Neodiprion lecontei: one gene and its partners. The protein of the gene in region 1 interacts with the protein of each later gene in a biochemical or structural test. Links are inferred from orthologs where the notes say so. Each region holds a gene or a part of one and is shown in the gene's direction. Other genes may lie near its edges.

Region 1 (5,134 bases):
GGTGGAAGTTTTGGCAAGATGGAAGCAGCACGCGAAGACCAATACTTCTACAATCAGGTATAACGCTAGCATAGGATAGGATAGGTGTTTAAGCAGTCCTCAACACTATTCTTCATTAACTTGAGAAATGAAAAGTTAGTAGGAGTTTGTCAAGTTGAAATAAATTCAGAGTTTTGTAACCTTGAAATGATTATAAAAGAAATAAGATTGCAAAAAGTGAACATATTCTTTTATTTGTTACATTTTCTTACAAGCAAAGAACGTAAAATGAAAAAATAACAGCTCTTCCTAAAAAAAAATAAAAATTATTCTTAACGTTGATGTGGTGATCTTCAACCTTATATGTCACTATCAATGTTTGATTTTATAAAATTAATGACTTTTTAAGATATATTTCATGATACTCCTATTAACTGAGGAAAATTTTTTTTCTCAACTTTGTCATTATGTTTCAACAATTAGTTTATGCAATTGTTGCAAAATTGACTGATAGATATGTTGATTGTTTCCATGGAGACACTGCTTGGAATGAATAGAAAAAATATATATTTTACTATTGCTGAATTATGTTAGCAAAGATACTTCGAAGCTGTCTCAAATAATTTACTGAATGACTTGAACTTTTGGAATGGCAAAACCAAATAACGAAGTTGAAATCAGTAATGTTGACGTAACGACAGATCAAACAAAAAATTTATATATTTCAACTCTCGTATTAATTTGAAAGAGTTGAGTTTGCAAACCGTGAATGTGTTTTTCCTTATTATGCCTCACCAAATGTTATATAATCCCAAAATTGGGCAGTAAGCAGACTTTTTATAATTGCAACATTGTATAAATGTTACAAAATTCATTTTCACAAGATATATGTGAGTAATTACCAAGATCAAAAAGTTAAATTTCAATAGCCAACATAAGAGGTTGCGTCATATTTGTATTCCATAGGATAATTCTCACGCACTTTAATATGCAGTCACTGAATTTTCTTTTTCTGTTCTAGCAAAAGGAGCAGTTGAAAAATCTGCGTGACGGTCTTCATGATGAGATCTCTTTTCACGAGGAACAGATAAAGCGTCATCAGGAGGCCATAGAGCGCCACAAGGCTCGAATTGGAAAGATGGAGAAGTAAAAATGTATGCAGGATTTGACGAATAGCTGAACCGCCATACATCAAATTAAATCATTGTATTTTTAATGTCAATGATAGTCAATGACATCTTGAATGGAATTTTTTTTTTTTAAACTATTAAATCTTTAAATATTATGTAGAAATAAAGTATACAGCTTTTCATAGTTAAAAAAGTTGTACGAACTCATATTTCATCATCCAAAACTATGTTGTAATTAAGCTTTGAGCTATTGCACACTTAGCATACTAGCTCCCAGCTTTAACTGAACTAATTCAACGATGCAATTCTTTTCTATTTCTAATATTTTTGGTTTTGTAAGTTCCAATTGCTAGTATAATACTATCTGTATCTGAGGTTTTATCACATTGTCACGTTATAAAAATGGGAATTCCACTTGTTTGACTTTCTTTCATTTTGTACGATATTGCTTCGGTAGCCTAAATACTGTAAAAATGCAGTTCAAAAATCATTGTCAGGCAGATATGCAATACCGTTTTGAACTATTTTACTTCAAAGTACACTCGCGTAACTTTACGAGCGTACAAAATAAAAATGATCGTTGAATACGCGGCTATTCTGTGCAAAGTAAAAAAAATATAAATTCATTTCGAAAAACAACTGAAACTTCTTATCCCTGTTAAGGTGTTAACAGTGATGAATATCAGTTGAAAATGACTGTAACCCAAGTTCAAATCTCGACAATACGAGTCGAATAATATTAGCCTCAGTCAACGACGCATCTGATAAATAATCTGCTAACGTTATAGGGGTTTGTCATAATATCGCCACGGACCTACCCTATCATAGTCACGCATCGATCGAACTTCTGCCGACACGAGAGCTTCGCCGTAAATCCGCACAGGTGGCACTACCGGTGGCAAGATGGCGCGAAATACAGAAGAAGCGGGGACGACCGTCGCGCCCTCAGTGTCGTAGGATTCATTGATCAGTGTGGTGTGTTCGCATTGTTGCTCTCGAGTTTTGGTGGTTTTTCGGTTGTATTTGATTAGTTTTGTATTTAACGAAACAAAGTGAAACTCTCGGGCTCAGTCCAGGGCCCTCCCCCTCCCTCGCGAAGGAATAAACAAAAATGCACCCAAGGATATACCTGTTTCTGGCGTTCGGAGGCGTTATTTTATCGGGATGCAACGCTGCTGCATCAGAGGTAAGTGAACGTCTGTCACTTTTCATTTTCCCTCGGTCCTCACCCCGTCTAGTCTCTCGCATCCCGAGTCATTCCACTCGAAGCATTTCGATTCATTTTTCATCACGAATAATACCTGCGAAGCTTACCTCGCTCGTCCGTGTTCGTTGAATATTTTTTCGACACCTTTCATCCCTACGAGCAGTTCGAAAACTGGCTAACGCGGCAGACGACGCGATCAATTGACCGACCCTCGCGTTACGGGGGAAAATGCATCGCTTATATACGGATGTGGCTCTAGGAAATCTCCGCGAGAACGGAGAACCATGTGTGACGGACGCGTCCTATAAGCGGAGCGACGAACCTCCCCGCCAACCCCCTCGTGCCCTCTGATGCCCTGGTAAAGAATATTTCCAGACCCGATGACGGGATATTACATCGCGTAAGCAGAGTCGATTTAATTCAATACAATCCTGGTCTACGTCCCCGTGATTGAAAACCGGCAGAAATTGATAACAACGATAGCGAAAGGCCATGGTTAAATGATAATATATGCTCGATTGTAAAAACAAACGAATAAGGAACGAGGCAACGCGCGTCGAGATGTAAACAATCGCGTCAATGAAACACCGGGGAGAGATGTTTGCAATCTGGAAAACCAGGAGGAAGGTCAAGAAAGTCAGGGAGCTTGATTACAAAAGTCGCATTTCAAATCTGAATACCCGGTAATCCTAGTTTCTTTCTTACTTTTTCATATCGAAGCTACATTACCGCGACGGAAAATGATTTCTGGGAAATGCTTGCGCTAAATCATTCATATTTACTCGACAAATTACAAATCTTTTTATATCTCACTTAAGGCTGTTTATGGACTGTACAAACGATGGGTTTTGTATTTAACTATTTTAAATTACATATAATGTGGAAAGCGATGAATTTTGTAAACTGCTTTTTGCACGAACTCTGTTGATGCACTGTTAGAAATGCGGTGTTATATGTAACAACGAAAATATTCTATAGAAGTTCACACCATTTTAGTGTTGATTTTAAAACCACTTGGTGACCAGAATCGAACGATTTACATCGATGATGTTTAATTTTACACTAATCAGTGTGGACTTATATTGACACCGTTATTTTTCTCACAGTGTGAACGGTAGCGTTTTATCAAAACCGAAAATATGTTCCATATCTGAACGTGCAAATTGCAATATGGCACAACAAAAAACTCGACGTTTTTAACCGCGATGTTCAAAGAAACGAATAAAAGTGAATTTTATATTTTTTCACACATTTCATTACGAGGTTTAAATTCGTAACGTTGACTTGAGGAAAATTTTTCATGTTAATCGCCTCTTTGATGCAGTCAACTGTAAACGAAGCTTGAAATTAGGAATTTGACTAAGCAAAGCCTGTCACTTATATTTTGTGAGACGTAGTTGTTAGTTTGCTATGCTTCGATATTTTAACTTTATACACTTAAACCCCGTAAAATAACCCATTCTTAGTTTGTATTTGTATTAGTAGTTTGTATATTTGCGTACCAATGAAAGATGGTTTTGTTTCTATTACTTTTTCACCATGGGAGAAAAAATGTTACGAAAACGTTATGGGTTATAAAATAAATAAATGACGGTTGTATCAGACCAGATTAGACTCGCCAGAAAATTGCGGTAACTTCCGTAAATATTAAAGAATTTCGTTATTCTATTAAAGGGAAGTTTTCTACTTGACTGCCGTCAAGGAATATATTTCCAGCCAGCTACATAAGCGTTCGGAAACGCGCGTATACAAGAATGCATCGTTGCATAATCCATTTTTCAGAACATATTACATTCCAATCATGATTTTTACCTCAGTTATGGTGTTGCTGTAGCTTCTGACTAATTAGAAAAACACGGAATCGCAAAGTGGTCAGGCAATTTATGGAAAGGACAAAACATTTTGTAATTAGTGAGGGAATTTTATAGTGGCATGATAGAAAAGTAGAGACTAGACAAGAAAAATATTTTCCCTCACGTGCTCATTTTCATGACCCTTAAATATATGGATACACGGATTTTTGACAACTGATTAGTTCGGAGTTTTATTTATTCGATACTCCAATTCGTACTACTAGTTGGAATTTTACCCAAGAGAAATTCATAATTTGGTGAGGGAAAATCGGGGAATTTAAGAAAAAATATTTATAGTGGGTATTATTGAAAACCTTGAATTTGCAATCGCACAGAACGGTACTTTTTATGCAGACTATAATAATAAAGCAAAATACTTGACTAGAAATAGGACAAAAAGTTGATAATCTGTTTGCAATTCGTTCATGTGGAAAAGTGCCTCCGAATTTTATAAATTTTGACTATCAGAAAATGTTCCAGGTGGGTGAGCGAACATGAGTTAAAGAACACAAATGATTATACAAAAGGGTCGAGAAGTGCTCTTGCAAACGAGTGAACATCACACATCATACATCATACATAGTATTAAAGTTGAAAACCATAGTTTGGATGTTCGGATGTTCAGAAAGTGACGTCATCCAAAATTTTTTTTTCTCTCGACGTCATCCATCTATAGTAATCGTAACGACGAAAATCAGCTAGCCGAATTCCTCAGTCTCGAAACAATCGCGCAGTAAAGCGGACGGATGAGAATCGCGCTCGGCAGATTTCGAGTACCGGATTCTCTCTCTACCTCCTGGACCCTGCGCTGCGGGTCCGCTATCCGGTGAAACTTGACTTCCAGAACAAGCGCTCCGTAGTTCTGGCCGCCCAGGTCCTTGACCTGGTGATTTTTAACCTTCAGGACTAATTTTCGTAGTTCTGGCTGTCCAGGTCCTCCACCCGGTGGATTTTGACATCCAGGA
Region 2 (4,650 bases), on another chromosome or scaffold:
CGTAATAAAATCGTATACCTAATTTATATTGTCAAGATATTTCTGTCCGAATTGATAAAAGGAATGTTTATGCTTTCACAGCTTTGCAGATCATTTCTCGCTCTCTATCTAAAGCTAGACGAAAGCAACGTTCATTCGAGTCTGGTTGATTCATGGGATAGAGCAGGGTAAGGTTCTGATAATAATTAACCTGTTTGTATGCTAACGAGTGAACAGTTTCAAGTTTTGTAACAACATACAACGACAGAACAATTTGGTATTGCCAGTATGTATGATACATAATACGTATGATTGAAATCCCTCAAATAAAAAAACTATGCTTATAACCTGATATTATTTTTGTTCCCATTTAAATTCCTATTTATCAATACTCAAATATGGTGTTCCTTGCATTCAAATAGTTGAATATCACCTGTTTTTATCACACTAGCAGCGCTTCTATCGATTCACAGTAACTGAAGTCATGCCTGTTCTATCAGATCTCTTAAGCGATATTGAGGGGTTATTATATGTTTTATTTTCATTCTAGACAGAAGATAACAGTGTTGAAAGGGTATAATCACAAACACCTCGTATACCTGGCAAAGAAAGTACGTCATGTAGCTGTTGAATCAAACACTTTATACAGAACAACTGGTCAGGCCAGAGTAATGCTGGTACTAACAGCGTTTGGCCGAGAGGAAGATATGGAAGAAGCATTTGACGATCTGTGTTACTTACATTGACGTCCATGTAAACAACTTGATTTGTCGGCATAGATGTAGCGGGCAACTTCACTGCCACAACGTGACATATCTCTTTGACCGTGTGTGGCTTATACTGTGTGTCAAGTCATTAGAAGCTATGTTACTTATTTAAAGAGCCTCAAAGTCGTTTTGGACAGAAATTCAAGTCTAACAAATATTTTGAATAAATAATAACGAATCAATACAGGGTTGCACATATCACGGTTTATAAATTCGTCTCTGTTTTTGTTTTTCCTAGTTTTTCTTACCGCAACGTAAACGCAACAGCTGAAGTATATCTTGTTCTAACACTAGTCTTTCAAGCATTACGAATTCACAGCAGCGAATCCGTATACGTACCTAACCATTTGTCGCTCAAGTAGAGCTAAGTAACTAATTTTAATATTATCAAGTTGTTGTCAAATATGCGTACTTATACTTATGCATAGACGGTATCACGTACAGAGTCGGGAGCTTTTCTACGCTTGTTTGCATCGTTGATGGGAAAATATTGTCAATTAACACGTATGCGGTGTTTGACATATTCCGCGATGAATTTTGAATTCGTCCGTGATACGAGCAGGGCTCACCGTGGGTCGAGAAGGCAGTGAGACACGCCCCACCACGTCGATTTTGTCGGCAGTCCGCTTGCGCGCGCTCCGCGCGTTGCGTAGACGACGGCAGGCGCCCAGGTTTCGGTGCCGAAACGTCGCGCAGCCGCCCTGCGCCCGCCGTGTTTTATGCAACCAGTTTTGCGTCGGAGCAACGGGTTGGTTGGTGTGGTTGGGTGTCGAGCGCTGCAGCGTTCGGCGGAGAGCAGCGGGGTTGTCAGAAAGGCGTGTGCTATCTGTCACGGTCCTAGTAGCAAGTAGGATTGCTGTCAAAACGTCAGTGAATGGAGGCGCGTGTCCTCCGGCCATTTTCGTAGTTTCAAAACCGCCTGACAAAAGTGTGAATTCCGCATTGTGCTAAAAGGCGGTGTTTGCGTGTGCGCTCTCGCTGCGTTTTGCCCCCTTGTGCTCTCCGTGCCGAGGGTGGAAAAATAGGTTGGTGTACGTGATAAGTGACAGTGAAACGAAGTAACGGACGAACGAACGAACAAACGGCTCGCGCCGAACGACCAGCCTACGATCGCTGCCAACTACCGTAGGACCAGACTCCGCGAGGAGGCGAGGCGAGGCGAGGCGAACGCCGTGGGCCACTGCCCCCTCCTCCCCCCCCCCATTCTGCTACTACCACGCCGTGTTGAACGGAGGCAGCGGGCTTGTCGGCCGGCATAGACGAAGTCATGGCAGAGGATGAGGTCTTGTTCGACGATGTTTACGAGCTCTGTGAGATTATCGGAAAGTGAGTAAACTCGGGACTCTTGATTCTCATCGGAACGAATAGAGAATATTCTACTCCCTCACATTAACCTAGTAACGGTCAACGGTTCGAATGTTTGTCCGCTGACACACTGCGAGCGTTTTCGTGTCCACGATTGTATTTTGTTTTTCAACTTTTCAGGTGTTTACTACACTCTTTACCCGCCGAACGAATTTCGGTCGGTATTCGAATGCGATACCGAAATTTCGAATAGGCACACTTCTATTATCATTGTTTATAATTTTGTCACACTTGAACCTAACCTGATTGACGGGCGTTTCGTCAGCGTGATCTCACATTTCCAGGTATACGTGTCGACGACGCACACACGGGTGTTTACCTACTCTTCGAAATGCTTATTACGGGAGTATGTGTGGATAGCCTGACTTATATCAGGTGTAGTTGGCCATCTTGTGTTTACTTCAGCCCGCCAAATTCAATTATCCGTTATCAAGACTAGTTTATTTTCTCTCTATCACCGTCAACTTCAAAGTGGAAACGATAACCTCAGTCTTCTATTTTCCAACGACATTTTAACGAGCAGTTGGAATTTGCTCGTTTTAAACTTGGTACTATAAATTCCAGGTTCACTGATCGTCTCCTTTGCATGTTACACAGGTGAAATTTGTCCGGAACTATGTAAGCGCGCGTCAGGGTTTCGATCTAGCGTATTATCTTCAACTTCTATTTCATTCTTTGAAAATTAGCATAGGCAGATTATTTCATGCATATAGACATACCTAGTCCACAGTACCTTTATTCACGTACATAGGTATATTATTATACATACACGGACTCATATGCTTGCATGTATGTATCAGGTCGGGAGACGGGAATGTGTTTGATATCGATTATTTTGTCCCGAAATATATCCACCGAACAGGAAAGGGGAAACGAATATGAAAAACTTTTGTATTACCACATATGCCAGTCCTTGGGTTTTACCGTTTCCGAGTCAAAGTTCAACCATAAAGTTTTCTACAGATTAAAGCCCAAGCATAATGTTTTAGACGAGTATCAGGCAACACGTGACGGACGAACAAAATGTTATACACCAACGATTGCCAGGAAAGTAAACTGTGACGGACCTTTTACTCTTCTTACCTGAACGTCACAGCGTTAAAATGCGCCACGAAAAAGTTAACAGTCCTTGACGTGAGTTGACAGTTGAATTTATGGTACGACCGTCGAGTTGAGCTTACTCTGGGTCTTTGTTGGTCTACATTGGACTCTTATTCAAACAATCCTGTGAACAATTCTTAATCTCCCAAACTAGATTGAGCTGTGGCGCTGTGGATGCACTCTCTAAATATGAATTAGTTATAAGTATACCACTGGAGAAAATCATTGTGCATACACTGGAAGTCAATGACACATTATCAGGCTGAAATTGGTGACGTAACAAAACCTTAGGCTAACAAGTCGACATTATCGGGCAATTTAAAAATGACTTTCAAGGAGTTGGCTATTCAAAATTAAAGTATATTTTGTTTGTAATAGTTTACTAAGTCTCAGGCATTCTTAAAAATGCGGATTAGCGATTTTTCTTGAACATGCATCATTACAGTAACGTTAATAACTTCACCCTGTGAAGTATTAGTAAAAACTCACTGAATCGTCAGTGCATATGTACTGATTTTTTCCAGTCGTATACTTATGATTGGGAATCAGCGAATTTTCACTGATTCAAATCCAGAGAGTGGGCTCGGCAGAACTACACTCACGAGCAGGTATAAGGGTTTTATTATCGAAAGAAATTTGTGCACTACGCAGTAGTATCTGTATTACTTCATAAATCTTTTAAGCATTTTATGATTTAATGACAGAGAATATTCGTCGTGTGCGTTGAAACTGTACGACCGTTGCATGTGAGTTACATGAATACTTGAATGGTTCGAGTCAATTTGCTGTTCGTCAATTGAAACTAACCTTTAGCTGGTCATACCTAACATACCTTGCGGTCATTTGTGACGTAAAGGTTTGTAATCTTTAGCTGGCACATTTATCTGGTCTAACATTGCTGGTACCTTGGGTCGACTGTAAAATTTAAAATTATTCTTGGGATCTTTTTTATCTTGTAAAAGACACTTAGGTGAATACTCAAAAAAAATAAAGTTCACATATTAAGTTGCTTCATTACAGCAATCAATTTTCGATCGGAGTCTTCAATGACCCCAAGGTGCCAGCAATGTTATACCAGATAAAGGTGTCAGCTAAAGATTGAGTGAACACACGTTAGATATGCAGATCCAGTTAGACGCAATCGACGAACGTTTCTTTATACTTGGTCTATTTTTTTTTGTTCTCCTTAGAACGGTTCGTTCCATCGATCGGTAATGCGGTTCAGAGTCTAATGATAAGTCAACCAATTTGATCTTCAACCTTCGGTATAACTGGGTACCTACAATTATATATTTGATCATATTAATACATTGCTCGGCTTACTTTATTCCTCCCACTCAGGGCTGTCCTACACTTTTGCGGTTTAGTTGTTCAAATCCATTTTTTTCGTCTCGAAAATTATAAATATAAAATATTTTATGAATTTATTTGATGTTTT
Region 3 (6,383 bases), on another chromosome or scaffold:
CGATGCCTGACTATTGCGAGTCATCTGTGACACGCGAGATGGTGAACGCAGAGCGTGAAATCAAATTACGTGATGAATTTGAAATAGTTTCATTCGCGGTGTCACACTGATTCGTAACTCTCGTGTAAGTCATGAATTTTTGCCTGTATCCTGGTGTAATAGACTAGTTAGAGAACCCAACGTCGTAGAGAAGCAATAAATGGAAAATCTGGTCCACGTTGATAAAGAATGGATTCAAATTAAAAACGTGTATATGCGTCGAGCGAAGTCGCTGTCGACTCTTCGAATTTGAAACAGGTCCTTTTAATGTAAACCATTGATCCGTCGATTCGTGATTATACGTAGTCACGCCTGAATGACGAATATTATGGATTTGAAACATGTTTTTAATGAAGGAATTGTTAGGCAAAATTTATATTTACAAGTGCAGGTCACTCAATTATTGTATAATTATATAACTATCATTATAAGAGTCTAATCTCCATCTTCGGCAAATCTTCACATCACATACGTATTAGTAAAGGTCACGGGTTTGGAGACACTGATTAGCATACAAATTCTATTTCTGAAATACAAATATTACATCGTTGTTTTCTTTTTGTAGATTCCATTTCTTCGGATTATCACAAAGCACATAACTCCATCATTTCTATACTTGTAATATTCCTACTGAACTCGTGCTGAATTGTATTGAATAGAATTTTCCCTGTATTTCGTGAAGTGTATGAAGTAGTAAAATTTGCCGAAAGCTGGCTGATCGAGTACTCTTGGTGCGGGAATTCTGAAAGACATAGGCTGTAAATATTCATATCTGTTTACTATATACGTTATCTACGCTATGTTGATAGTTTATACTTATTCTTTGATCAATGAATAAATAACAAATGAAACAATAACACGTAATAACGACTATTTGAATTCAACGCGCAAGCTGCGTACAAACATTCATATTATTATTCTGATACCGCGACGCGATGATGTAGCAAGTAGTACAGAAATACCGACTTATCGATTCTTGAGATTTGCTTTTATCCATCCAATGACACTGGAAATTTCATAAAACATATAATACTGAATTAATATCTTAATCTTAAATCACTTTTCGTAACCGCTTCTTGTTATAACATATATAAACTATAATTTCCAAATTCTGCGACTTCAAAACGTTTACAACTGTACGTTCGAGCCGGTAACTGTTGCCCCTTTTCTCACATTTTATCATTAACGATCCACCCACGCGCTGCAACTACGTCATATTGCAACGGTAATAAGTGCATCGGTGTTAATAACCTCGAGAGGAATTCGTAATACCGGAATACGGAGTACAAGCCGGTGAAAAAGAACAAAATTTCATACGTTGGTCGGTAGCAAAATATCCTCTCCTGAACTTTTAACATTTTATTTTAATCGTCAATAAGTACAAATAGAGCTCCGGTTCTATCGTGTAAAGAAGGGAACAAGGAAGTTGCGAAACCGGTGTTCGGATGAATCGATCAGGGAATTCCCAAAAGTGAGTGTCGTGTTTTTCCACTTCCTAGAACGAAGTTTCACCGCCTGAGGGCAGCACGTTGCACGATTCGCTTGACGTTATTCGAATGCGTACACGTACTGCCTCTACTTTTCATATTTCCCGCCATCCAAGCATTCTCACTGGTTGACTAAACTTTGCAAACCAGTCAGAATGCTCGGATGGCGGGAAATGGGAATAGTAAAAAAGCGTAATAAAGCCCGTTGTGCGTGAGACAAGCGTGACAAGTGATAGGGTTTGGCAGTGCGCTCAGAGTTCTTTATTCGATAGTCTGCTTTTGTATCGTGCGGCATATTCTCGACCACATTCCGACATTCAGAGCAAGGCGGTTAGTTGAAACCGTTGAAACTTTGCTTTCCGTGCCGCGAGGGTGTGACTCTGTGAATTAAAGTGCGATATTTATAGAAGAAAGGAAGAATCAGGGCTCGTCCACGTTTCGTTGCAGATCACGCATGTGAGTTGAACAACGTTTACTGTTCCTGGAACGCCTTTGACAAAGAGAATCTAATATCTGTAACACTACGAGATATTCCTCGCTGCATGGTCTCTTTCCCGACCTTCGCTTAACCTTTGAATTAGGATCAATGAAAGTATAAAGCGTTTGAAACCGCAGGCTGCACAACCACCTACGTGTTTATTATGTGTTTAAAATTTATCCTAAGCTTCTGCTCTACATTTTTGTCAACGGTATTTCTAAGGAAATCATTTATCGTCATTTCCTCCTTCTTTCCTCCAAATAATTCTTGAAGAATACCGAATTATTGAGAAAGTTGAAACTGAGGTATCGGTTTTTATGACCGAACGAATCTTATTTCTGTACAGTAAATAAACTACGTATAACGTGATTAAGCCGAAAGCATGTAGAGTGAGATAAGAGACTTCGACAAGCTTAACATTTTTCTTCGCACAGTACTACTTTACATTCAGACAAGAACTTTGTTCTCGGTCAGCAATCGATAGTGCGAGTCATCTGAGAAGCAGAATTTCCTCCTTTATAAAAAAAATCTCACTGTAGTTCATACGTATTTTATCTTTTCTCTATACATTTCTGATCTGAAGTTTCACCACTTTGCTCCACTCAAACAGAACAATCGATAGAAATTTTTATGTTTAATTATGCTCTGAAACGCAGTTTTGTTCTCTAATTCTATAGGCAAAAATAATATTAACACTATCCAAATTTTATGTACAATACTGTTAGCAACACTATCGAACTTTTTTATCTGAGTCATAGCGATAAGCTTTGTAGGCAAGTACGTGACAATACCACATCTGATAAAGCACTAACTAAGAGAGTTATATTTTACTAATTACAGAGTGAACCTTAAAAGCAAAATGTCGCTGTATCCGTCCCTGGAGGATATGAAGGTTGATCACATGATCAAGGTAGGTGAATGCACCCTGTACCTCCTCAATATGTCACATACTGTGTATAGTCTCTTTTCCATGCCTTGTAATAATTCATGTGTCTTTGGTAATCAATACTTCTATGTAACTTCTACCCATCCTACCTAGACCGACTGACTCCTCCATCTCTCTGTCTCTAGGCTCAACTTCTAGCGGATCAACATTACATTCCGCATCCGCCTCAGGTGCCACAAAATCCTCTCCCACAGGCAGCTAGTTGTCCTTCAGCTCCGGAGCATCACATTCTTTATCCAGCTCTTGGCGATTATATGGGATTAGAACTTAGTGAAGATGTGATAGCTGCCAATATGCCTGAGTATGCAGTTGTCAATCGACAGTCGGTATGCAATTCAAACTTTTTATGCTTCAAGTTTTTTTTAAAGCGAGATTCTTACCGAGATACTTGATTATTCGACAAAAATAAATTCACAAAAATTAATTTGGTATAAGCAAGCTTGTACAATACCAGAAAATGTTTTTAAATGACATCAAATTTCTCTGTTATCATATGAAATTTGTAAGAGTTTAGAAATTTGCGATATATTGTGTCAATTTTATTTTAATCCTTTGTAAGTTCCTGCCTGAATTGCATGAGCAGCAATTAGCTTTAAACTAACTTTTTATTTTTTTACAGACTGCCTTGGCACCGCAAGCTCCATCAACTGGAAGCTTATCTGGTATGATTGCTCCCCTGTCCGGAAATTCTTTGGGTCTGCAGAGAGCACACGTCACCAATGGCATTCGAGAGGTATATCGATTACTTTCATTACTAATTAAACTTCTGGTATTCAGACCAACCAAAAAACATACAATAATGTAATCAACTTGGTTGTATGTTTTCTCGCAGCTGACTCTGTGCAAGGACAAAGATGGGAAAATCGGCATGAGAGTACACTCTGTGAATAACGGAGTGTTTGTTTGCCTCGTGAGTCCAAACTCTCCGGCATCTATGGCAGGTCTACGTTTTGGCGATCAAGTATTGGAAATAAACGGAGTCACTGTGGCTGGTTACTCCATGGATCAGGCGCATAAACTGTTGCGCAAAGCTCCCAATAATGGTATCAAAGTCATAGTTAGAGACAGGTAACATGCTCATTTTTCAACCTATTTGTATTTTTCCAGCCAGAATTAGTTTGAAATAAATTTAATCTGTTATTTTAGGCCATTTGAAAGGACAATCACATTGCACAAGGACAGCGTTGGCCATATCGGCTTCCAATTCAAAAATGGAAAAATCACTACATTGGTGAAGGACTCTTCAGCTGCTAGAAATGGGCTATTGACTGACCATCAACTGCTTGAAGTTAATGGCAAGGTAAACTTTGAGAAGCTTTGTTGAAAGTAATATATGATGCTTCGAATTACTTTTTTCATACACAGTTGGTCATCGAATCAGTTGCACTAACTTGTAACTAAATTTGATGTATTTTCAGAACGTGATTGGGTTGAAGGACAAAGAAATTGGTGCTGAAATTGAAAATGGTGGTGATATCATAACTATCACAATTATTCCTTCCTACATTTACGAGCACATGATAAAAAAGTACGTCAATTTTTACTTAAACTTTTCATTTCCTACAATATTCTGCACAAAAATTTTCTTTCTCCTTACAGAATGTCCGGCAGCTTATTGAAATCGGGAATGGATCACTCCATTCCTACTGTTTAAAGGACGGCAGTGGTGATTCGAGACCATATTTTTCCACTTTCAATTAAATCTAACCCAAGTATATAATCAAGCGATAAGAAACACGTGTCATATTTACTTGAATTCATTATTATCATATACCCGCTGGTTATTGAGTTATCTTTTGCCATTCACTGTAATTATGGTCAACTGAAAATATGAATTGCATTGGTAAGGAATCAGCGAATGGTAACGAAGGCCTTTAACTTTGTGAATCAACGAAATTCGTTGAAAAAAAATTATTTAAATAAACAAACCTTAGACTGTAGAATTATCTTATACGGTGGCTTGATACGCAGGAAATCATTAGATTTCTGGATCGGCATCGCCGAACAACGTTGCCTTAGTTATTGCACTGTCATTAATGTGCCAATTGACACCACTACCTTAATTTTTTTTACGTTATAGAGAACTTAGAAGTATTCAATTATAAACGAAAAATGAAAGAGAATATCGTATTCGTATTATTCGTTGATCTTTTGAACGGGAGATTAATGAAAATGTGTACGCGAAGAGACTGAAAAGTGCATCATATAATACAGCGTTCAATAACTCACAAAGTCAATCAATAATTATATTGATTTTCGAAGTAATTAGTTGCTGACCTGCGCAAACGTGATACCTTCATGTTTAGTTTTCATCTTTTCAATATTGGTTTTCTAAGACTCGTTACAGTTTCCGTTTCATAGGTTTCAATTTACCGAGATATTCCTTTTTGAACTTAAAAATAGATATTTTTCCTCGCAGCCGAATTTCATATCGTGATAAAAAATACCATTTAATGTATGCTTGTTATTAGTGTATTATCCGTTCCAGTTTTAAAGTAACATCTGAACATTCAGACTATATGTATACATAAACTTAATGTAACGATCAAATATTTTATTACTGAACATGTAGAGGAAAGAAAACAGTTAGTATATGGTAGCGTTAGAATTTTTTTAAAGTCATTAAATAGAAAATACATTGTTTATATAATTTGTTACTCGCTATTTCTCTTGTGCCATTTATTACCTAATCGAGGTAAATGAAAATATAGTATATATGATATACACACAAGACACGCTCACACACGGTATATATTTATAACGTAGCGTAGAAATATGTATTTTGAACAATCAAATCCAATCCACGTAAGTTTATTCTAATATATAGTCGTGTCTTGATAAGATAATTAAGATATATATATAATGCATTTAATGTACGTGATTTTTTGTAACACGCGATTCTGAACGTTATATTATAAATAAAAATTGCATACCAAGCCGGCGCGTTCTATTCGAAACTCACGTAAATGATCGAGAAAGGCCCTTTTAGACACCAGCATTATTGGACACCGAAAATAATCGGAATCTATATTGGACACGGGAATTATTTCACACAGCCGGATCGAACACCAGCGATGTTGCGGAAACGGTCCATCGGCCTCCAAAGATTGAATACTCGTAAATGTATTCAAATGCTCGATTAGAACCTAAATTATCAGATGAGGAAAAGTAATGGTGAACTCCCATTATCAGACTTATCGTGGAAAACGAGAGACTCTTCTATTTGAAGTGGAAACTTCAGCATTTCTTTTCCATGTCTGATCAGGCTGTGTCCAATCGGGGCTGTGCCGAATAAATCTTGGTGTCCAATCGTTGCTAGTCCACTAAATCTCGTGTCCAATATAACTTTCGATTATTTTTTATGTCCAAACGGGGTTCACCCAAATGATCTATAATTATAATTGAACGATGAATCAAGTGGAATTTATTTTTC

The links.
Region 2: the proteins of syndecan (region 1) and peripheral plasma membrane protein CASK form a complex in vitro, tested with the Homo sapiens proteins (2 studies listed by BioGRID and IntAct, with this or other methods). The link is inferred for Neodiprion lecontei from reciprocal best matches to the Homo sapiens genes SDC2 and CASK.
Region 3: the proteins of syndecan (region 1) and syntenin-1 form a complex in vitro, tested with the Homo sapiens proteins (3 studies listed by BioGRID and IntAct, with this or other methods). The link is inferred for Neodiprion lecontei from reciprocal best matches to the Homo sapiens genes SDC2 and SDCBP.

Annotation. Positions count from the first base shown.
Region 1 is NC_060263.1:25,408,285-25,413,418, forward strand, and holds the start of syndecan, read left to right. Parts: upstream 1-2,051; 5' UTR 2,052-2,220; coding exon 2,221-2,295; intron 2,296-5,134. Other genes in the region: ATPase inhibitor mai-2, mitochondrial-like, read left to right, coding at 1-57, 1,001-1,129. UniProt on the Homo sapiens protein: Cell surface proteoglycan which regulates dendritic arbor morphogenesis.
Region 2 is NC_060262.1:31,567,018-31,571,667, forward strand, and holds the start of peripheral plasma membrane protein CASK, read left to right. Parts: upstream 1-1,544; 5' UTR 1,545-2,013; coding exon 2,014-2,072; intron 2,073-4,650. Other genes in the region: uncharacterized protein LOC107218162, read left to right, coding at 82-167, 530-725. UniProt on the Homo sapiens protein: Multidomain scaffolding Mg(2+)-independent protein kinase that catalyzes the phosphotransfer from ATP to proteins such as NRXN1, and plays a role in synaptic transmembrane protein anchoring and ion channel trafficking.
Region 3 is NC_060261.1:38,853,128-38,859,510, reverse strand, and holds syntenin-1, read left to right. Parts: upstream 1-1,700; 5' UTR 1,701-1,918; exon of another isoform or gene 1,919-1,982; intron 1,983-2,844; 5' UTR 2,845-2,863; coding exon 2,864-2,914; intron 2,915-3,075; coding exon 3,076-3,276; intron 3,277-3,569; coding exon 3,570-3,683; intron 3,684-3,782; coding exon 3,783-4,018; intron 4,019-4,096; coding exon 4,097-4,250; intron 4,251-4,368; coding exon 4,369-4,478; intron 4,479-4,549; coding exon 4,550-4,604; 3' UTR 4,605-5,882; downstream 5,883-6,383. UniProt on the Homo sapiens protein: Multifunctional adapter protein involved in diverse array of functions including trafficking of transmembrane proteins, neuro and immunomodulation, exosome biogenesis, and tumorigenesis.